Oryzias latipes: one gene and its partners. The protein of the gene in region 2 purifies or fractionates together with the protein of the main gene of each other region. This does not show direct contact. Links are inferred from orthologs where the notes say so. Each region holds a gene or a part of one and is shown on either strand. Other genes may lie near its edges.

The links. The genes of interacting proteins can lie anywhere in the genome.
Region 1: the proteins of putative transcription factor p65 homolog (region 2) and hdac2 purify together in Homo sapiens (affinity purification with western blotting; 8 studies listed by BioGRID). This does not show direct contact. The link is inferred for Oryzias latipes from reciprocal best matches to the Homo sapiens genes RELA and HDAC2.
Region 3: the proteins of putative transcription factor p65 homolog (region 2) and cul2 purify together in Homo sapiens (affinity purification with western blotting; 3 studies listed by BioGRID and IntAct, with this or other methods). This does not show direct contact. The link is inferred for Oryzias latipes from reciprocal best matches to the Homo sapiens genes RELA and CUL2.

Annotation. Positions count from the first base shown.
Region 1 is NC_019882.2:21,611,851-21,619,772, reverse strand, and holds the start of hdac2 (histone deacetylase 2), read right to left. Parts: upstream 4,332-7,922; 5' UTR 4,212-4,331; coding exon 4,157-4,211; intron 1,958-4,156; coding exon 1,845-1,957; intron 1,668-1,844; coding exon 1,550-1,667; intron 1-1,549. Other genes in the region: hs3st5 (heparan sulfate glucosamine 3-O-sulfotransferase 5), read right to left, coding at 7,155-7,922. UniProt on the Homo sapiens protein: Histone deacetylase that catalyzes the deacetylation of lysine residues on the N-terminal part of the core histones (H2A, H2B, H3 and H4).
Region 2 is NC_019876.2:27,223,444-27,231,122, reverse strand, and holds the end of putative transcription factor p65 homolog, read right to left. Parts: intron 5,996-7,679; coding exon 5,780-5,995; intron 5,702-5,779; coding exon 5,621-5,701; intron 5,536-5,620; coding exon 5,452-5,535; intron 3,964-5,451; coding exon 3,158-3,963; 3' UTR 2,566-3,157; downstream 1-2,565. Other genes in the region: UPF0696 protein C11orf68 homolog, read left to right, coding at 1,528-2,268; UPF0696 protein C11orf68 homolog, read left to right, coding at 2,265-2,268. UniProt on the Homo sapiens protein: NF-kappa-B is a pleiotropic transcription factor present in almost all cell types and is the endpoint of a series of signal transduction events that are initiated by a vast array of stimuli related to many biological processes such as inflammation, immunity, differentiation, cell growth, tumorigenesis and apoptosis.
Region 3 is NC_019878.2:9,090,919-9,098,694, reverse strand, and holds the start of cul2 (cullin-2), read left to right. Parts: upstream 1-3,445; 5' UTR 3,446-3,570; intron 3,571-5,006; 5' UTR 5,007-5,028; coding exon 5,029-5,147; intron 5,148-5,944; coding exon 5,945-6,047; intron 6,048-6,142; coding exon 6,143-6,237; intron 6,238-7,776.

The DNA.
Region 1 (7,922 bases), on a different chromosome or scaffold from region 2:
TTTACTTTTCACGGTTTCACTTCTTCACGGATTTGCATCGTGCATTGTGTTCTGCATTCTGATTGGCTAAAAAGTCACTCTAATTCTTCTCTTCCTGTGCGTCAATAACGTTGCAGTTTAATTTGTACACGTACATAAAACAGCTTGCCAAATTTACATTATGTACGTGCAAATTCTCTTGCAATTTCGAGTATCTCTAAAACCCATAGAAAAAAGAGCAACAACTGCCTATCACTGTGTTCTTCTCCTGAACAAACACAGCTGCACCGCGGGCTTCAAAAGAAGAAAACACTGCAGAGCGGAGTCAGGATGCAGCGGCTCAGTCTGAATAGCAGTGAAATACACCTGACTCACTATTTGTCCCACTGTACTTTGTATTTTTTTTTATTATCATTTTAAATTTTCTCCCGTTTAATTCAATTACTCTCGGGTCGCGGTGGGCGGGGCTAATCTCCGCGATTTGAAGCCTTCTGTTCACATCGATGATTCAAATTATTATTTGACAGAACAGTACAGACGTTATTTGTTGAAAAAAAAACTTTTATAAAGTACTTTTATTTGTGAAACAAATGCTTGAGCCTGTAAAATGGTTTGTTCTTTCTTTTCAATGTATAATAATGTATAAGTATTTAATTGTATAATAATATTTAAAATAAAATAAAGGTTTCTACTTCACGGATTTTGCCTATTACAGGTTTTTTTGGAACGTAACCCCCGCGAAAAACAAGGGTTTACTGTATACTACTTGTAGAATCGTTTTATTATTGTCTCAATGATAATAAGGAAAGTGTGAAGTTCACGAAGAGAATGATCAGGTTCTCCTTCATGTCTGTTTTAGACTCCACCCACTGATCACCTCATCAAGACGTCACGGGCCAAAGCTGAGTCCCTGATTGGTTGAAGCAACACAAACTCTTTGCCATAGTTAAACTCTGGAAACATGGTGCTGCACTGTGAAATGTTGCCACACTGTGTAGCCCCACTGTCTAAAATGCCCCACCACTAAAGAACTGCACCCCCCTGACACTTAAAATGAGCCACGGGCCTTCTAACCAAATCTGTAGATTGACTTAACATGTAAACTAGATGCCATGACTTGCAAATCGCGTTTGGTATGAGCCATTGACTATATAAGAAAACTGGACTGAGTGGCCCTCCTCCCCATGGCATTCCAAACAGGAAGTACCTGCTGGTTCCAAAAAGCCAAAATCGCAAAATCCAAAATCGACTTTTATAGAGAAATAAACAGCTGTTCCTCAGTCATTCTATTGGTCAGAAGAACCATACTTTTTCTGATGACGTCATCCCTTTTGTTTTTACATCATTCTATAGTTCAGGTTATGCAATTCTCTAGGTTATGCAGTCTATAGTTCAGGTTTATCACTTATAAAGTGACCAATCAGATGCCTCAATAAAAGTAGGTGGTCCCACGTCCAGCGTTGGAAACATTTGACGGATTGTAGCTTCACTGACAATCCACTTCACTTGACTTGTATCCTGTACAAAATGCTTCCTTAAGTTTGTCTGAACGTCAACAGAGCCCACTCACAGCGCTGCATCTGCTTGCTGAACTCGGACATGTTGTCTGGCCGTATGGATCTGAGGAACTTGATGTAGTCGTCACTGTGGTATTTGGTCATCTCGTCTGCGGTGGCTTTGTGTGGCCTCTGAAACCAGGAGAAAGGTGGAAGGGAAGAAACCAGAACTGAATGAAAGCAGGAGCGAACACAGAACTAAGAGCAAACCGCCAAGCTAAATCGACGTTTCCTAATGTCTGAAGTCTGCTGAGGATCAGGTCACATGGAGACACGCTCCTCACAGCAACAGAGCACAGGAAAACATACATAGATCTCCATTTTTCTGTAGAGGCCATAGTTCAGGAGGAGGTTGTGAGTCATGCGGATCCGATGTGGCTTCATGGGGTGTCCTTGTCCATAATAGTAGTTTCCAACATCACCTAGACACAAGAAAAACACAAAATCAATGATGCAGATTGCCAACATTAGCTCCACCAGCTTTTCTGATTCAACTGTTGGCATCTGTGTTGTTCCAACAGAGAACATGAGCAGCAAACGACAGAGGAAGACAACTCAGAGCACTGATCTGTGGAACAACCGAAGCTTCAGAACGATGACTCACATCCTCACCGTTATTTATTACTGCTCAGTAAACAAACCAGGAACAGTTTACAGCAGACAGAAAACGGGACTGATCCCTGTCCAACAAACTGGACCCTCCCAACCAAAATGTACTCTGACATCTCATAATGTCAGTTTATTCTTTACATTATGATTTCAGTCAGATTATTAAAATATGAAACCGCTCTAAACAAGTGCCAGTTCTAATGGGCTGAACTTTTATGACACTTATGTTCACGAAGATCTACATCTGCATCAGTAATCTAGTCATTTCAAAGTGATGTGCACGTCATTAGTGCACGTGGGACTGCTCTAAGCTAAATGTGACCGCAGAAAAAGGTGAAGTGAATTGCTTAAATGAACATGGTGTTTTTAACACGTTCTGGCAGCATTATTCTGAATATGAAGAAAATTAAACAGAAAATTGAATTTCCGAGTATTTCTTTGTTCAAACTGTTGTGAGTCAGGAGCGGATAAAAAATATGCAGTTGGGAATAGCTATAAGCAAGCCCCAAGCTCCCTGTTCTGTTCCACTCTAAAGGCCTGTTCACACCGGGACGAATTTCGCCGGCGATTTTCGCCGACGTTTAACGCCTCGTGACTAAACAAAGGGCACCAACGAGAGTGTGCACATCGACGCGAAAAAACGCCAGGCGTTAAAGCGTCCAAAAAAAAACGCCTCGGGTTCGTTTTTTTTTTCCGACGAAATCTACTCGACCAATGAGAACGGCGCTTTTGCTCACGTGTCTGGAGCTTCTGAAGTTACAGTAAAACACAACTTGGGGGCGCTCAAACACAAAACTGCCTTGCTGAGCACACATACCAGCGAAGAAGATAGACGCCAAGTAGCGTCTACACAGCCGCGAAGCAATAATGACGGACATTCTAAAACATCCCCGAACCAAGCACCAGTTGGAGCTACTGGTGCTTGAAATATTCATGTTTTCTTTGTTTGATTCTGACAAGCGTGTAAAAACTTGCTCTCTTCTTCTGAGTGAAAAGCGACTTTAAGAAGCGTAAAGTTGCGCAGCGCCACCTTGTGTACAGGAGTATTTCAGTTTTACATTAAGCGCCATCTAATGTCAGGGAATGAAATTGCATGTTCACTCCACTCATCGTCAGCGAAAATCGCCTGGGTGTGAACACAAAAAACGTGGCGAAAAACGCTGGCGAATAACGCCTGGCGAATATTCGTCCCGGTGTGTACGGGCCTTAAGGCATCCACCTGCAGACTAATGGATCCATGAACGTCTTTGTTTTCCTCGTCTGAGCTGGAATCGGGATAGATCTGATATTGGCCATCTTTTTTGTTGCACTGCTAATGTGAGGATGGGGTTGTGAGGGGCTGTAAGCTAGTGGTAGAGTAGAGTGTAAACGGGGGGGGGGGGGGGGGGTGCTCTGCATCAACAGTCCCACCCACAACTCAGAGGTTAATGCTCTGCAGAAACTATGTCCCAGAAAACAACACAGGTTTTTGATTTAAAAAAAAATAATAACTTAAAGCGATCGGACACGCTTGTGTTTGGACCTGAACGCAGGTTTAGAGCCACCCGGGGCTTCTGCAGACGGTCACGTGACGTGTAGGTGAGCCAGGCCGCGCGTGCTCGTCTGGAAGCAGTAGAGGCTGCCAGTCGTGTGTTCTGTGGATGGTTGCATTGTGGGACGGCAACCTCGTTAAAGACGTTAAAAGCTTTTCTCCTCATACGTTCCCGGATGTGGGTTCTCCTCGGTGGGATCTTGAAAGATCACAACAGAACGCCGGCTGAACTGCCTGGGTCTCAAACAAGACTGACGTACGTAGCCGTAACTCACACAACGAGGGGTGGAGACAGACGTGAGGCGCCGGCTACTTAACGTACAGTGCCCCCCTCAGATGTTGGCTTTACACCGTTTCAATGAAGCAGAAAAGACTTTAGCCCCGGAGAAATGAGTTCCGACCGTAACTGACCGATGCTAGCACATGCTCGATGCTAACAGCTAGCGTTAGCCTGGCTCGTGCGCCACACAGCAGCTCTTACCGTCGTAGTAGTAGCAGACCTTCTTCTTAGTTCCACCTGCAACCGTGTACGCCATGCTACAAGCTCCTTTAGCTCCACAGGTGAGGCTCAATTCGCGTTAACAGAAAGACAAGAGCTGGATGGAGAACATCTGCACGGCGTCGCTGAGTGGGAGGGGCTACGTGGGCTGGGCGGGGCAAGGTTGGGCTCCGCCCCTGCGCCCCACTTTAAGTTTCTTTGTCCTTGTTCTTTTGTTTTGCGTCTTTGGGGCAGGGCATCAACACATGATATGTGGATTGCCAGTTCTGTCTGTGGTAGTCTAGCCATGCCACCAGGAGATCATTTTAGTACAAGACTCTGCAACCTTCTACCCCAGTTTGAGCCTCTTCCTTCTGACAGACTCAGAGTCGCACAGCCCCACTTCACACTCAATTCATGCTTCAGGCACGTGAAAATCTCCTTTATCTGGACTTTGCTTTGCACTGTTGAACCTTATTTAAATTTGTTCTTCACCTCTGCTTCTTCAACTCCTCCCTCAAAGCCACAAAGCCCTTTTTTTTTTACTTACACCACTTGGTCCTCTGCTCTGGCCTTGTCCTCGTCTATGGAGTGATTTATGTGTCCCATTATTCCAAGCGTACTTGAAATACTTGAAATATTTTGTGTGCTCAAAAATATTTTGCACTTGAAACATAAAAATGCACTTGAGACTCAAAAATAAGTGCAAACAAAACAGTTTTACTCTTGAAACCTAAAAATATGTCCAATCAAAACAATTCTCTATGTGTCACAAAAGCCAGTTAATCACAGACATGGGCATAAAGTTTGATGCCGATTGGTCAGAAATTCTTCCAATCGCACACAGACCTGATCCAGTCTACGAGCCGTCTAAAGTCTACAGTTTTTGGGTTTTCTGGCCCGTCAAGAGTCGTAGAGAGGAGTGGCTGCTCCTTAAGATGTCTTGTAGTTCCCTTGAGGCTTGCACAACCACCTTAAAGGTTATTGTTTTGCATTTCGTAAGTACATGGTGAAGTATTTGTTAGGATAATGGAAGTTACAAACTGATGAGGTATGGGTGTTCTTGCTCAGGGGGGCGGAAAAAATGAAAAATCAACATGAAATGCCTGTGTCTTACATACTTCACCTGTGCCTGCCGTTGTGTGTTGTTAAAGTACCTGACGACCTGCCGCCCGCACCAGCCCGTAGAAAAACTGAGCATGAACATTCACTGAGTGGTCTACAATCTTGAAATTTCGTGCGGGCCGCCTGCTTGTCTCATACAGATTTGGCCCTTTTTCATCTGCAGACAGCCCGTGCCCACCCCTAAGAGCAGTTGGGACTAAGGCTTTAGCTTTCTCTTCTCAGCATCTACAGTCAAACTGGAGATTATTCATCCAATCAGGCAATTTGGGCTAAAAGATACTTTATTCCATCAGCAAGTTTCTTCTTTGTTGGAAATAATACAGATGTTAACCAGGAGCAGAACATTTTGCACTTGACTTGTCAGTCAAGCTGTAGCTCATGAAATCTCTTTTGCCACTGTGGTAGTACTTTCCAGAAAAAAAAAAATCTTAGAAAATACATAAAAGATTAGAAACCATGAGGAATACATGTTCATTTATCGCTCTTGGTTTTCTTAAACCAAGCTTTCATAAAATGTGAATAAGGATGTTTCAATAAAAATGGATTGGATGTTTCCAAACACTCAAAGTGCTTACAACATGTATCCATTATTCAGTCACTCCTCACTGAATGGCCATAGCTGCCCTGGGACAGACTGACAGAGGTCTTGCTGCCTACGGCCCCTCTGACTATCCCCGGGACATTCCTACGCATTCACACACCAGTGGAGCCACACTAGAAGCAGGCAGGGTAAGGTTGCCCATGGACACAACAACAGTTGGCTGGGGGGAGCGGGGATCCAACCACTGACTGATTATTAATACACTTCATTGAACGTCTAATCCACTCTGATATTTGAAGCACAGCACATATTACTTAAAAAAATGGAGTGTTTAGCCATTTAATGATTCAAAATGACTGTTGAGGTACAGGACCTGATCCAATCACTTATCCGCAGAGCTTAGTGGTACATTAAGGTGAGATCATCAACAGGATGTACAAGAGGAAACCAAAACACAAATAATTCCAGAAAGGTTTCCATGTTCTTTAATCCACTTATTTTTTAACAACACATGTATTACAGTGAATATTTGCACATGGACACAGAATAGAAGTGGTCTGACAGACGTCTAAGGCCAGCTCCAGATTTTCTTACAGCTTCTTGTAGCTTTTTTTTTTGCTTTTGCTAGAATTAGATGAAACAGCTTTTAGAAACAGCAAACTTCTGTTTAATCCCCAGAAAGTGTCAAAGCTACAGTAAATACTGAAAACCTAAAACACCAGATCTTTATTCTTGAAACTCTAAAGCCCTTTGGACAAAGAATAATAAAAAAAAAGGTTGTTTAACAAATGTATTTAAAAATCCTGTGATTGAAGAGCATGAACCAAAAGAACTTACACAACAGTGAGCTATGAAATTATAACATTTGGATGTCATGGGTAGGACATGCAGTTTGGATCATATAAACAATGTGACAAAGAATTTGTTTGTTCATTCATTCACTCATCTGAATTCACTTATTCATTTCTTCACTCATTCATTTATTTAAGAATTCACTCATCCATCCATTCATTTCTTCTCTCATTCATTTCTTTCATTATTCTGAAGTGTGTTATCTGAAAAAAAGCGTCAGTCTTAAAGCTAATTACACCAGCATGAATTCCTTTAAAAAATAAACACTCGATTTAGTCACAGAAATCGTTTGTTTCTGGATGTGCATGAATGAGTGCTTTTAGCTATTTTTATTTTAATTCTCTTCAGTGAAAAATGATTTTGCTAAAGGAACTTTCAATTTGATCATTTTTTTCAGTAAGATCAACTCATAGTTCAATTAACACTTAGAAAAATGAAAACAAGATTCCACTAAATAATCTCATTGCAGGACTTTGTGACTCATCAAGGCCAGTTGAATGTTCTGCCAGTAATCTGATAAAATTTCTGATTGAAGGGATGAAAGAACTTCTGCAGTTTAGTCACCACAGCTGGGTCCACCTCAGGATGGATGCGACCCTTGCTGCCTGCTAGGCACTTGCTGAAGACAATGTTGAACCGCAGACAGTAAAACCCCCTGGTGACATTGAAGTACAGGTTGTACTGGCTGATCCTGGACGGGAGGTTGAGGAAGTGCTCTACCAGCTGCAGCTCCGGCAGTGGGTCTGTTATGAGGCGATCCCCATCAACAATGTGGAACTGTTCCACAGGAAAATACTTCAGCCAGCGCTCCAAGTGTTTGGTGTAGATGCTGGTCCGGACAGCTTTGTACTTTGTGTTCACCTCACAAGTGTTGGAATCAACAGCTAATTTCTCAAACTTGTGGTAAGTTTTGTTTTTGCGCTCTTTTCCCTCCAACACCTGCGTGTAATCAGACACCGCTCTAGTGGTGGGCTCCCGTACGATGATCAACAGCTTGATGGAGGAGTTCATCTTGAAGATGCGCTCAGGAACTTCCTCTGTGATGAAATACGCAGGACTTTTCTCAATAGTGATCTGATGGGGGAAGGAGTAGGGCATTTTTCCTCTGTACCACTCGATGCCACGGGCATAGTTTTTGTCGTTGTCAAAGAAGTGTATCTCCTGTGAGGCTTTGACCACGGCAGGATGTAAGTTAAGCATTTCCAGCAGCGCGCGAGTTCCGCCTTTACGAACCCCAATAATAATGGCTCG
Region 2 (7,679 bases):
AGAACATCCGGCAACCCGAGAACATCCGGTACCCACAGGGGCGCTGTTTTGGGTGACAGGAAGGGAGGTGGGGTTGCCACCGCCCACAGATCAGAGGTGAATTCCCAATAAACTACTGCTGCACCGCAGAAAAACTATTACTTATACCACGCTACTCTTAGCACACAGAATATTTTTTTTTCAATGTTGGTTATTTTCCAACCCAGAAGTAAGACGAATCGATCTCTGAGGCTCCGCCCTTTCTCTCCTTGTGGGTGTCGCCCATTTCATGACGTTAATCTAGAGTCAGCATAGTCTGTCACGAAAACAAACATCTGAACTTTCTCAACTATGGATGTGCGTATTGTGCATTGGAAACGAAAACGTTTAGCCGATCAAAGCTAGCTCCACGGAGATAGTGGGTGTTTGTGTTAGCCTGGGGGCGGAGCTAGCAGCACAGACACTTCCTGAAAGGGGCGGTTCCTCACTTTTATGCGTATGAAGGTTGTTGGAGGAATACTCAGAAATGCATGAATGGATCAAAATACCTTTTTTGGGGGTTACTATAGTCAGTAATGAATATTATAATACACTTAAAAATAGACCTAGCATAATATAGGCCCTTCAAACCTTTTTCCCTTGATTTAGTTCTAAGCATTAAACTGAATGTTTAGACTCAGTATTTGTGAAGTTTCATCTCCATTTACTATATTTCTATCTGCTCTTTTTGTTTTGTTTTTCTGCCTTTGCTAATCAGATCTGTCTTTTTTTATGTTTTTTACTTGAACTAATCAGGGAGGGGTGACAGCACGGTCACACAGCCACTACGTACATTTTTCCCACTGATGACTTAAAATTCCGGTCTTTCCTGATCTATGCGTGATATCCGTTATTTTTAAGTGTTTCTTGCGTTCGCCATTCGTCAATGTGCGCAGATTTCTGTCGAGGGTTTCGGTTGACGGATCTTTACGTGAATTTGATTTTGAGCTGTTTAGAAGACCGCAATATCCGTAAGATCTGACCTCAACGGTTCTGCTATCGGTACTGGAGAAGTCGCATTTTTTATGTGTCCCGCAACATTTAAACTGGAGCTGTGACGGTGTGGGATTCTTGATCACCGCGCTGATGAAGCGGCAGGAGTCGCATGAACCACCGATGTATAACTTTTATATCCCGTCTACGGCGCACCTCTCACGGTAAAATTATATTATTTACGCACAAATCACTTATGAATTGCATATAAACAGCACAATAATCACACGGTTCATGTTGTGCATTGATTTACGTGTTCTTTGCGTGGTGTGTTTCAATTTCACTTAAAGACCACGACTTTCCTCACTTTTTCCACGTATGACCATTTTTATCTGAGCAATATGTACTTAAGGAACGTAGTGGGTGTGTGACACGGCCTTAAGATGCTGCTCCAAAGTTCAGCCTCTGTGTTGCATAAGTCTCCCTCACTCGTGCCGTCATGAACACAACTCCTGCTTTCTTTCAGCAGGGAGCTCCACACTCCTTGCTCGGTTCCAGTCTCATCTTTAAGGCATCATGGAGGAAGAAGAGGCCTCTGCCAACGGTGAAAGGGAGAACTTTGCATCAGATCACTATGCCGCCGAAGCCCTGGCTGCAGACATGGATCCCTGGATTATTTTTGACTGCAGAAAAACTCCCAAATCGGAGTTTGATGCCTGGCTGGAGAGTAACCGGCCCTCCCAAGTGCACAGGTTTGGTGACGAGAAGAGTGGCGTCGGCCCCGTGGGGTGGATCTCTGTGAGGGGCCCCGACTACCATCCCAGTGATGAGGACGTTGAAGATCTTCAGGAGAGCTGGGAGAAACTCCTGGCCAGTGGCAGACCTGTCACCTTCCAGACCGTGAAGGAGCTGGCCCTCAACCACAGAGTGCTCAGTGGGAAGTGGCTGATGCACCTGGACTCTGGTTTTAAACTGGACCACGCGTGGGAGTGTGTGGCCAGAGCAACCTTGGAGGGGAAGATCTGGTGCGCCAAAGTCAGCCCCTTGGACCCGAAAGGAGACAGTCGCCACGTCATATGTGTCTATAACAGAAACTTCACCGACGAGGAGGACGTCATGAAGCTGGACTCCGTCATTCGCTCCACGGGGATCAAGTGCCCGCTGTTCTACAAACCCGACGTTTACACCTACCTGGGAATCTACCGAAGGAACCGCTGGGAACTTAGCCCCACCATTTATGAGAGCAGGTTTGACCTGGAGTGCGTCCCCCGGCGTTCCCACATCCTCAACAAAGTCACCAACCTGGAACTGACATAGTCCAGTCCGGACGGGCAGCGCGTTTGGTGGGACTGACGCCTAAGAGTTCTGCTCCTGTTTACCGGGCCACGGAGCGGCATTTGCAGATGTTTTGATCTTCCTTTATTTTGCTTTTTTGGAAAGAAACCAATCTGTAATTCCAGCAGTATTTGATTTGCACTCATTTCTTGTGGTTGGAACAACCTACGGAGCTGGAAGGGTGACAGAAATCTGAACTTTGAGACGTTTTTGATAGTTTGAGAGAATTCGTTCTGTTTGAACCACGATCAGCCAAATAAAACACTTTTGAAGAATTCCTTTACATTCTGTCGATTTTATTGTGAAAAAAGGTTAGGCATAATGTCTGTGTGTGGAGGGGGGGGCTGCTGACCAAAAGCAAAACAGAAAAGTCGGTTCTTTGGACAGTAACCGTAGAAACACCAGGATAACAGAAGCAGGAACACGGACTGGTCTGCAAGCACATGTTCAACCTGTAAATATTTACATGTAGACCTTCATGTGGTTCTTTACACACGCAGACAAAACCTTCGGATGACACTTCAAACCAAAGGGACACTTGATAAAAAAAAAAGGGTATAATGCTAACATGCCAACATACCAGGCTGTTCATTTTTGGATTCAAAACCCCAAACTTCCTCTAAAAACAGCAGATAAACTTGTTCAGATACAGTACAAAAACCTGCCAAACACGTGTCAGCGAAGCGACGCCATCATCAGCTGATGAACACGCGCGGGTCGTCTTCCACATAATGGTTCTGTAATGATAAGGACATGATCTGAATCTGTGGTTGGGGGGTTTCTTTGTCCACAGTGAGCGGTCTTTCTGTTTCCCCTTGGCATCTTTTCAGTCCTGAAGGCAGAAAGCAGAAGTCTTTGGTGAAAGGGTCCTTTAGGTCTGGCGTCCCGCCACAAACTCGGCGTGATTTTCATTTTCGTAAATGGACATGAGGCGGTCGTCGTCGGCGGACAGCAGCTGGTAGTCGTCGGGTTCTGCGTAGCCGCTGTGGTGGTTGTTGAGGGGGGCGGCGTCCATCATGCCCTCGCTCTGCAGCAGGTTGACGATGCTGTTGGGGTAGTTCATCCAGGTGCTTCCTGGGTTGCCAGCAGGGTCCGAGGGGTTCTGGCCCGCTGTGGGATTCTGGGGAGGTGCGGTGGCGTGGGGCTGCTGGCCCGAACTTCCAATGGGAACGGCGCCACCCCCGCCCACGTTCAAAAGGTCCTCAAAGTCGTCCATGTTCAGGCTATCCAGGGTGATGGGGACCTGGCCCTCAGAGAAGCTGGGGAACTCTGGGAGGTCGTCTTCTGCGGGGTTTGTGGAGAACTGCGAGGCCTGGAGGGGGAAGGAGCTGCTGGCCTGAGGGGGCGCACTACTAGCTTGAGTGGCTTCTGCCTCCTGATTCATGGGGGACAAAATGTTGGGGAAGAACTCCTGAAGGTCTGCTATGTTGACTGTGGGGTATTGGTTGCTCGCCGTGGAGGCGCTGATGGTGGTGGAGGAGGAGGGAGCGGCTGATGAAGAACTCCCTGCGAAGGGGGTCTGTAAATCTTTCTTCAGAGTCTCCATAAATCTCCAGGGTTGGCTTGAAGTTGCGTCGGGGAGCTCCCTCTTGTGCGGCGCAGGGGCCTGGATCGGCTGAGTGAAGAGGAAAGGGGCCTGTGGTTTGGCTGCACTGGCACCAGGGGGCGTCTCGGTCCCTGAAAAACAAACAGTTTCAGTTCAACAGCTGCAATTCCACTCTATCCTTACATACAGGCAGGCGGCAACAGCCCCGCCCACAACTCAGAGGATCATTTCTAACAAACTCCTGCCGCGCTGCAGAAACTATGTCCTGGAGACGACCGCAGATGTTTAGATTTAGGCCAAAAACGTCATTAAAAGATTACTGTTAACACTTTGAAAATAGATAAAAACATGATCAGAGTGAAGCTTCAGTAATATTTGCAGTAACTAAAGTTAAGGAACAGTTATTGTCCAAGTTTTTGTGTTTTAAGACCAAGACTCAGCCAGAGCCGCAAAGTTCCACTACATGTTTAGAAAATGTGATTCATGTTTTTGTGGCCATCGAGGCATTCATTCATAAAATCTAGCTCGTAAATATTTACTATAATTGAATTATAACTGTGTTATGTTTTTCTATGTAGAAACAAATTTAAGATATTTTACTTTTGACAGCATTACGTACGTAAGTTCCTTTCAAAATAAAACATCCTGTGTCAAATGAGAGCCTCCTGCTACGGAAGATTTACTTGAAAAAAAATACAAGAAACCCAAGTAAAACCATTGACTGTATATGAGAACTGGACTGAGTGACCCCCCCCCAGCGTTCCAAACAGGAAGTACCTGCTAGTTCCAAGAAGCCAAAATAAGCAGTTGTTACTCAGTCATTCTATTGGTCAATAATTCTTGATATGATACATTTTTATAAACGTATTAATCTTTTTCAAATGATTTTTTTTCTGTAGTTATTCAAATTATAAAAGGACCAATCAGATGCCTCAATTAAAGTAGGTGGTGCCCTGTTGAAATTTCGAAACATTTGATTGACAGATTCTACTGAGTCTGCTTATAAGTCGTAGGGGTGTGGCCTTCGAACAATTTCACTCCTGATTGGTGAGAATAGTTGCAATAGAAACGTTGGCTCAGCTCGACTCGGACCAATCCAAAAAAAATATTAAATAAAAGGCGACTGAACTGACTTCATTTGGTTGGAGGCTGAAATAAACCATTTTCTATCAATGACATCACTCAGTCCATTTCTCAGATACAGTCGACAAGTCAAACATCTCCTCTTTTTTTGTCCTTTAGCTGTTTATTAAATATAAACATGACAACATTGGCGTAGAATCCGGATTTTCTGTAAAAATCTATGCATATAGATGCAATTCTTTGGTTCTGAATGACTGCATCTGAAGATCAGAGTAGGAGCTCTACACTCATTCTTATAATAAGCTACTCTGACAGTAGATGAAACCTTTAACCATCACAGGCTCGGTTACATGACTAAACTTCATTAAATAACCTATAATTTCTTCAAGCGATTAGCATTTTCTTGAAAGCCAAATTGTCCCAATAAAGGGTTGCAGACCCGTGTTATTTTGTTTTCAGTGGATTTTCCGTAAATAACAACATTCAAACCTTAAAGGAACAACATCAGATGCAAAATATTTAGGATCAAAACTCACCGGTTGACACATTCACAGAGGAAAGTTTAGGTGGGACTGTTCTCCTTGCAAAGTTCATTTGCCGCCGGTCTGATGGGATGGAAACTGAAACAACAGATGCCGTTTTTTTGGTCATAAACACTTTAACAAAAACCTTCAAAGAACAGCTAACAGTATCTAGTGAGCGTACCACTGGACAGCATCGACCCCAGCTTCAAGTTCTGGAATACATCTGCTGTCCGCTTTCTCTTCTCATTCAGCCGGTATTCATCTTTAGGAAGAGTGAAAGATTTCACATGAGGATGAATGCATGACATGTCCTAGGAAGGTAGAGATGTGTGCATCTTACCTGGGTCAGCTGGTAGGTACTGGAAGTCCACAGGCTCGCTCACTTCACGGTCAGACGGCCGCCGAAGCTGCATCTTCACCTTAACTGGCTCAACAAGGTTGGTGTCACGGTAGGGCGGCGTGCGGAAGACGATCGCCACCTGCCTGTGCACGTCCGCCTGGGAGAAGGTGCCCTTCCCCTCCCAGGAGTCCTGGAAGAAACGCACCTCGATGTCCTCTGCAGGGAGACGGGAACATGGGAGAACACCAAAGAATTGAGGAGTGTGCGGTGCTTTGACAAATCCCAGCTGGTCACAGAAAGACACCGCCGTCTCTGGAGTTTCGCTGGTAAACCAGCTTCCGTAGGGCAGCAGTCTGAAAAGCCGCCTGAATGCTTTCCTCACACGTGAAAAGGCGAATTTTCAAAGATCCAACTGTGCTGATGCACCAACGGCTTTAAGGCGACAGATTCCTGTGCTGACGAAACGTGAACGACATCAGTACCTGCAAAGCTGTGAGGTGCGAGGAAGATAAAGAAAACAAGGGCAGAGGACCAAGAGGTGGAAGTTGAGAAAGGAAAAGTGCTGTTTGGCTTTTAGGGAGGAGGTGACACATACTATGGGAGATCGGGAGGGTCATCTGCAGCTAAAGTGATCATGGAGCCAAGGAGGGTCCAGATGTGGACCGCCGGTGTAGGTACCATAACCGTTCGGCCTACAACAACCGTCAGGGGTCCTTCGAGTAGTGCTGAGGTCACATTATGTGATTGGCTGTCCGTTGGTCCGATGACGTTTTAGATAGTGATTGGTCTGGACAAATTATGACACTACCATAGAAAAAGACATTATGAAGTCCAGAGTAAGCAAACAGAGCTCCGACACAGAGCGGGGTTATCTTGTAAACGTGCTTTTATTATTGTTCTGATTATTATTAAGTCCATTTGTAGCCAAACGGCCTGCGTTCTGAACCCTTCTCCGGACCGAACACTCTAACAAAGCACCTTCCCCGCCTATGAACACGAAGCTACAAGACTCTGGCTGCTCTGATCAGAGACACGGTTCACTCTGTGGAGCAGCAGGTTCATTCTAACAGCCACAGATCTTCTTACAAAGTGGGTTGTGGCTAAATCTCTCTATAAACACTACAAACAATAATGTAGGACAGAACTTATGAAGGAAAATAACTTTACGTTGCAAAAAGAAACGTGAAATGAAAATATGTAGAGCCCGAGCAGATCTCCATGCTACATAGTTTGTCCAAGTGGGGCCACCGTAGTGTGACTGGAAGGACCCCGAACGGTAGTTGTAGGCCGAACAGTTATTGTATCTACACCGGAGAGAAGAGTCTGTTGGTCCGGATGTGGACCGCGGTCCGCCATTTGGTGATATCTGGTTAAGGGGCTCTGAGGCAGAGCTGGAGGCAGCAGAGATGAAGATGCTGAGGTTCTCTTTTGGAGTGGTCCGGGTGGATCTGGAATGACCATCAGAGGAACAGATCCTGGTTGTGGAGATCAATGCAGAGAAGCAGATGGAGAGGGTTTGGACAGGTTGAGAGGAGGAACAGTGATGATGTCGGCGAAAAGATGCTGAGGTTGGAGCTACCAGGAAAGAGAGGAAGACCAAGGAGGAGGTTCGTGGAGGAGGTTGTGTTGAGTGTTCCCAGAATGCAGAAGGATGTAGTTTCTGTTTTACTAGTCTATATCTGCACGCTTTCACATTTAACCCCTCGACGCCTAAAAATGCAAATATGCATCAAACCACTTCTGCTCCAGTCTTGCCTTAATTTAGCATCGAAAGCAAAAACTTAAGCCAATGTTTTCACAGCTGGTAACAAATTCAGGCATCAAAGGGTTAAGACACGGAGGAACACAGCATCAGAAAAGTTTGATGCTAAGTTATGAGAGCCCTCATGTCACTGGGAAA
Region 3 (7,776 bases), on a different chromosome or scaffold from region 2:
ACAGTAAGGAATAACTCCTAAAAAAACGGAATCCGCAAAAAACGAAGAAACCTCTTTGGTGCCCACATGAAGGAGGGATCCTCCCCCAGGACGGACAGGCAATGCCAGAACTCCTATAGAGAATTAGCTTATCTAACTCTACAACTACATATTTAAAGTCCAGCAGATGATCTTCATCCAGATGAAGCTGGGGGACGGCTGGGGGCGCGAGACGAGCCGGAGACAGGATCCACAGCCAAGTGGAGGAGCAGACGAACCAGAGACGAGGTACACGGTTAGGTACAGGAGCACGGATGAGCCAACTGAAATCTGGAAGCACAGAGCGAAAGTACACGAATCACACTGCACCAAACAGAGGCATGGAGAACTAAATGATGAATAAATTATGAAGAATAGAGGAGAGAAAGAGAGTAGAAGTAGACGAGACTAGAGGACAGAACCCCAGTGCACCATAGTTTCCCCAGCTTAAAACTTCTGGCATCCTAGTGACAACTTTATTGTTATTGTTAAGTTTAATTTAAAAAAAATTAACAGTAAGGTAAATATTATCTGAACACTAGCTAGTCTTACAATAAGCCTGTAGAAAGAGAGAAACTGAGTCGGCCTCTCTTACATGAGCTGGGAGTTTATTCCATAAGACAGGGGCTTGGTGGCTAAATGCTCTACCTCCAACCGTACTTTTACTAATTCTAGAAACCACAAGCAGACATGCATTTTGTGAGGGAGGTGTTCTGTTTGGTTGGTAAGGCACTATGAGGTCCTTAATATAGGATGGGGTCATACCGTGTAACGCCTTGTAGGTAAGCAGGGGAATTTTAAACTTGATTCTAGAATCAACTGGGAGCCAGTGAAGTGAAACTAACATAGGAGTGACGTGTTCTCTTCTGTTAGTTCCTGCTAACGATCTTGCTGCTGCCTCCTCAACAAGCTGAAGACTTTTTAAGGAAATTTTAGGACATGCTAACAAAGCTAACAAAGAATTACAGTAATCCAGCCTAGACGTAACAAATGCATGGATGAGTTTTTCAACATCACTTTTAGAGAGTATATTTCTGATCTTAGCTATAATGAAGTGAAAAAATGCAGTTTTGCATGCCTGAGATATGTGAGCATTAAATGATAAATCCTGGTCAAATAGAACCCCTAGGTTTCAAACTGTGGAGTTGGAGGCTAAACTCACACCATCCAGAGAGACTATCTGAGCAGACAGAGCATCTCTGAGGATTTTAGGACTTAGTATAATGACCTCAGGCTTTTGTGGGTTCAGAAAGGAGGTAATCAATTGTCATCCAGGTCTTGATGTCTCTGATGTAGGCATTCAGTTTCTCTCCTAGATTAGAATACTTGTACTTGATTAATAATAATTAAAAAAGATTAGCTCCCAGTCGCATTTCCCAACAGTTTTGCCTCCTTTATCTGTACTGTTTAAAGAATGGATCACTCCACGTTCACAAAAAATTATGTTTTCTTCAACAACAGCTTCCCCCATCTGAATTACAGCGACATAAAATAAAAAATGGCGGTTAAGTTCAACTCTGTGTTATTTAGATACTTTGCCATTACAGACAATAACGATCTTGACGAACCGTAATATCATGAAAACCACACAGATTGGAATCCTCCTCACTGTTTGATCTATTTTTTTTTTTTTTAATGGCAGTAAGTAAAGACTAGAACTGAGGACATTTTACTCTGAGGAGACGCTTCCGGGCTACTGCAGCTAAATTATGCATTAATAACACCTCTGTATAATGTAATAATATAATATAGTTAATTGATTTCTTGTTAATTGGCGTCATTCTTGTAAACTAGGGAGTGAACTGCTCCCATGCAAAACTGAAGAATGAGAGTGGTTATAAAATTCAAAATAAATGTTGTTTAAACATTTGTTTAAACAAAAGAAATGAGAGATTTGCACAATGTTGCATGAAATAGTCTATATAAATGTATGTATTTAATACAATCCACATGGATTACAGGAAAATATTTTTAGATGTTTTTAGGAGAGATTAAGGATATATATATTTGTATTGCTGTTACTGTCACAAAACAAATAAAAAAATCACATTTGACAACAAATAACTTTAAGAGAAAACAGCAGGGGTTACCTGTCTGAACTGGACCAACTGGCGTGTTTGTGGCTCCTACAATTAAAAATTGTGGGTTGTTTGTAAATGGCTGGTTATCTGTAACGCCCTGAAGATCCGAAGGGGAAAAGTCGAGATGGGAATCAAAACACAGCCCTGAAAGACCAAGGAAAACACAAACCAGTGGGTGTGGAGGTGGTCATGTTAACCACTATCGACATGTTTACCTGCATTACTGTTGTTAGTTTGCAGGTAAGAAGGAATCAAACTGGGAGAAGCTGGAGCTTATTGTGACTGATCACTCTCTTCTGTATTTAGCTGCATCACCCTGGAAGTCATTCTATGGAAAACAAGACTGTATTTGTATAAAAGAAAAATGAAGATTTATATAAAGGAGCATCTGATCCTCCTTTTTGTAAAATAACAGCTTCCTTCTTTAAGCAAGCAAAAAAAAAATACTCTTGTAAGGAATTCAAAATATACCTCAAGTTTTTGGTAAAAGCTAAAAACAACTTCTTCTGGTTGAATATTTTCCATTTTTTTCTAACAAAGCAGAGCAAAACAAAACAAAAAAATTGCAAATTTATAGTTAAAAATGTTTTGATTAACAAAAATTTGTGTCCAAAATGCATTAATTTTACCAGCTATGATATATTTCTTCAAACAAGCACTAAAACTAACTTTAGCTAATCAGGGATGTAGTAAATAAAGAACAACACTGTAAGTACTAATAGTCAGTTATGACATTTGAACGTTTTTTTTTAACTAATTGATTCAATACACAGTCTGACCTTCAACAAAAATAAAGAAACATTTGGGATTTAGTTTGAAGTAGCAGGCAGTCAGGATGTATTCAAATTTAAGCGGCATATTCTTATGGTGGTGGAAGCCAAACAATGCATGTTTTCAAAGCAAAAAAAGGGAGAGTGAAAATTTGTAATAAAAGAAATCACAGAAAATTTACCAAAGAGATTAAAGAACGTGCAAAGCCAAGCTACTTTGGCACAAGTAGCTTCTGGAAAAACCTTTACTTATTTAAAAGTGAGGCAAATATGAAGTGTTTATTTTTTGTATTTATCAATTAATTTAATTTGTATTAAACACAAATGGAATAAATGCACATTTCCCCTCAAAAAAAATAGAGCATATAAAAACAGAATACACCGGTGTTTGAAAAATTCGATTCCTTAAGGTTTCCGTAGTTTTGGGCGATACCATTTTTTGGTTGGGGTTTTTCTTTTAACGTTGCCGCGCTTTAGTTAATGTAAAGCTTATATCTATGATCTGTTGTTAATGAATTTATATTAGATACAATTCAGACAAATTACTGTTTCCTAAAATTCATACAAAGTATAAACACTTGTCTGTAACGTTCACCTAAGTCAAGTGGTATATTCCTAGTGGTTGGGAAGACCTGTGAGTCAAATCAGTACTGTGACAGCGGAGAAACCGGAGTTTTTAAACAAGTAATTACTGAATTAAGGTTAGTTGTAAAGTCTTTGCTTATAATAAGTAATCAGATTTTTTCAACATCAGCGCCACGCTTTGCCGTAATGTCAAGGTTTACGTAGGGAAACTTCTTGTATGACAATTTGCTAACTATAGCTGAGCAATCGTTAGCCGCCAGCTAGCTGGCTAATTGCTAGCTTTTGCCTTAAAATTGCCTTCAGTTGAACAGGAAGAAGTGACATGCTAACGCGCAGTAAGCTAGCATTTTAGCTCAACATCCTATTTTTGGATTGGCATTCCGCTAGCTTGTACCTTTTTTTTTTTAGCTAGGTTCAACAAACATGTCAGAGGGATGCTAAAATGGAGAGACAGCATTCGGTAGCATAATTGTAGTCACAATAAATATTGACGTGGTTTTTCAAGACAAATGTTGAGATGTTTAATGTTGCGTTATAGCAATTGAAATGAATGACGACAAACATGAAAGAACACATACAGGGCCTTCTTTCTCCCACTTGACGTAATAATTACAACTGCTTGCATTAATTTGAACGTTGATAGATTTTTTATGAAGTGTTTCGCTGCTGCTCAGAGGTTTTCTCTTTACTTTTCTCCAAAATATTTAGCTGTTAGCCTCTTCTTGTTGAACAGAATGATTATCAGACATAATAGTGCTATGGAGTGTTGTTTCCATGATCAAAAGAATTGTTTTAAAAATGTCCTTGTTACTATGTTTTATTTGGTAAAGATGTTCAAATCGTGTTATTGGTTTAATTTCCCAGGTGCTGTTTTGAAATCCTCGTATACTTTTGTTTTGTATTTGATGATGCTTCCTTCTTCTTCTTTTTTTTTACTATCAGTTTCTTTTTTGTCATACAGCCTTTATTTTGGTGACTGTGCTGTCAAAACAAACATTTAGAGACCCACTCCAGTAAAAATTGTGTTTGGTGTTTATAACATGTTCTTGTGGCGTTTTTCTGATGGTGGAGGACATAATATAAAGAAAATTGAACCTAAGACTGCATTTCAGAGTATTTTTTAAATTCAAATTGTTGTGAGTCAGGAGCAGATGAAAAACTGCTGTCTGAAAAAGATCGTATTTGTGACGTAGAAGCTACAGTGACCGGGCCACAAGCTCCCTGCTCCATTCCATTCTGATGCATTCATGTACGTCTCTGTTTTCCTCGTCTCAGCTGGAATCTGGCTCAAAACTGTACAGCTGGATTGCTCCAATATTGCTTCCCATTTTTGTTGCATTGGTAATGTTGGGCTTGGTGTGTGAGGGGTTGTACGAGAGTGGGAGAGTAGATGGGTGATGGAAAGTGGGGCGGACTGCTCTGCAGAAAGTATGGCCTAGAAAATGAAAGTTTTTTTTTTTTTAATTTTTTGGACTTAAAAGCTGCATAATCATAGTTAAAGGAATGGGACTTTAACATCTTTCAATATTTCCTGTTCTTTTCTTCTTTTCAGTCAGGCTGAAGGAAAAACTACAATGTCCTTAAAGCCGCGGGTGGTGGACTTTGATGAAACATGGAACAAGTTACTGACGACAATCAAGGCTGTTGTGATGCTCGACTATGTTGAAAGAGCCACCTGGAATGACAGATTCTCGTATCCTTTTAAAGATTTTTTTTTTTTTAAAGATTGTAGGCAATTTATAGCGGTGGTCCCAACCTCCAGGCCAGTCCGTGGGAGAGAGAAAAAAACACGACCTACATTTTTTCCCATTTTCTTTATCATCTGATTTTGAAAGAAGTTTTATTTGGGAAAAGTCCTCGACTCTCTTCACCACATTCCACTCATTCTTGATGCATGTTAAGTTGCTCGATCACGTTTAAAAAACCATCCTCTACTTTCTTAAAGCTGCTGCTCCGACCGTTAAATTGAGACCCCCAGGCTGGCAAAGTTCATTAAAAAAAACACATATGGAAAGTTTGTTTCAGTAGAAAAAAGTTTTAGGGACCAATGTCTTATTTATTCATTTATTTTTTATATTTGTGGAACCCTAAAAGTCTGACGAGGCTGAAGTTGGCATCAGATTTTTTGGCCTCTACTTTGACAGTTATGGGTTACGGGAAAATCTATATCCCTTTTTAATGGTTCCTACTTGAAATCTAGTGTACAAATAAAGTTTAGAGAAGTGGCAAATATTTCACAGAGGATGAAGATCGACTTTACCCTCAAAAGTTAAGGAAAACCTTTAGCTAAAAAAACAAATCGGACGGCCACTTGAACCTCGTTTCTTGTCTGACATTAAACCGGCCCATGGCCTGAAAAAGGTGCGGACCACTGTTTTATAGGGTAGATGGGTTCTTCATCTTTTTCTAAATACAGATTAGCTATTGTTGAGATAAATGTGTCTGAAAAAAGATGTTTTCTTGGTTTGTGATCCTGACCTCAGACACCAGCGACATTTATGCCTTATGTGTTGCATACCCAGAACCCCTGGGGGAAAGATTATACACGGAGACCAAAATTTTTCTTGAAAATCATGTCCGACAGTTATACAAGGTAAGCCTTTCACGCTCTTGCGGGAGAAAAAAAAGAAGTGCTTCTTCCCCCATAAGTTCTTGCTTTTTAGTAATAATATCTGAATGTACTTCTAGAAAGTTCTGGAGTCGGAGGAAAAGGTTTTAGTGATGTACCACAGATACTGGGAGGAATACAGCAAAGGCGCTGACTACATGGACTGCTTGTACAGGTAACTGTATTTTTTGACATCTACCAGCATGCAACAGGGTAGGGCTGGAGGACACTGCTACATTACTGAATCCATCCAGAATATATTCAGCTGTTAGATCTATTTATTTATTTTATTTCTATCCAAAACCAATTTAGTTAAGTTAGGGAAACCTGTTTTTACCAAAAAAAACTGTTCATTTGGAATACGGTGGAATTTTAATTCATGTTCATTGTAACATAAATAAAGGAAAGAATTTTTCAGACACAAAATATTGAAACAAAGAAGTTCTTTAAAGGGAAATCCAGAGGTATTGGATCCATCTTTTGTTTATTTAAACTCCCTTACAGCACTATAATAATTGATCCTTTGTAAATTATTTTCATTTTTAAAGGATAAATATTTAATGAAATGCCAGACACTGATTTTTATTGCTTTTTATACATTTAAATATCATTTGTACTATATGTGATATAGTGGCTTCTCACTATATCACAGTTCATCTTTTCCAGCCCTTTTTCTGTTTGTTGGTGCACTGTGTTCTGTGTCCTGATTGGCTGTAGACCCTGTCAGTCAATCTCCTCTGTGCCGTGTCTCCTGTATAGAATGGGATCAGCTTGATAGATGGATGTATATCTTCAATCCCAATCAGATCTTTGTTTTCATTCCATAATCCTGGACTCATTTTTATACGAAGGTTTGAACTTTGAGAGTTTAAATAAGAGAGAAAAGGGTGAAAATATTCATATCTGTCTGAGAAAAGTGTATCAAATGTGTAGTTAGGAGTTTTACAGCCTTTAAACATCTAAAATATTGTACTAAACAGACATGACTACTTCACTGATTTCACCTATCGTGGATTATTTTTAGAGTTACTTCTGAGGGAACACTGTATACTAAAAATCAATCAATATTCTGCCATTTTATACTAATAATTACACTGCCTGCATGACTTGTATTGTTATTTATACTACTATATTTATAAAGATCGCTAATCAGGGATGCCAGACAACTAAAAATTCGCATTTGATTTTTCTGCATTCAGATACTTCTTCCATCCTTAATCTTTAGTAAATGATTTTAATTCTCGAGTCTCATGTTTAAACTAATACTTCACCAGACACTAATTCTAACTATTTCAAATATCATCTTGCAAATTCTAATATGCTCACAGATGTTTTCTGTTCTTAACTGTATGGTTTTCTGATGTGTATTTATTCCCCTTACCTCTGCCCTTGCACTTAAATGACTTCATAGCGTTTTGTAAATGAGACCAGTGAGTGTTTGACTGTAACCTGAATTTTCAACAAATTAGTGCAGAAACAGTGGAAAAGGAGGAGCAGCCAAAGGAAGTCAGACAGACCATCAGTCAAAAAAGGAGGAAAAAAATGTCAGTTTGGCAACAAACCCCAAAGCCCTCATTCATTAGACCCACTCCAATGAAAATATTTATGCAAATGTTTAATATTTTCTTTTGCAACACAAAGTTTTGTGTGCAACGTGGTGGCATTAATATTACTCCATGCAAATTGAGCTCAATTGCATTTCTGAGTATTCGTT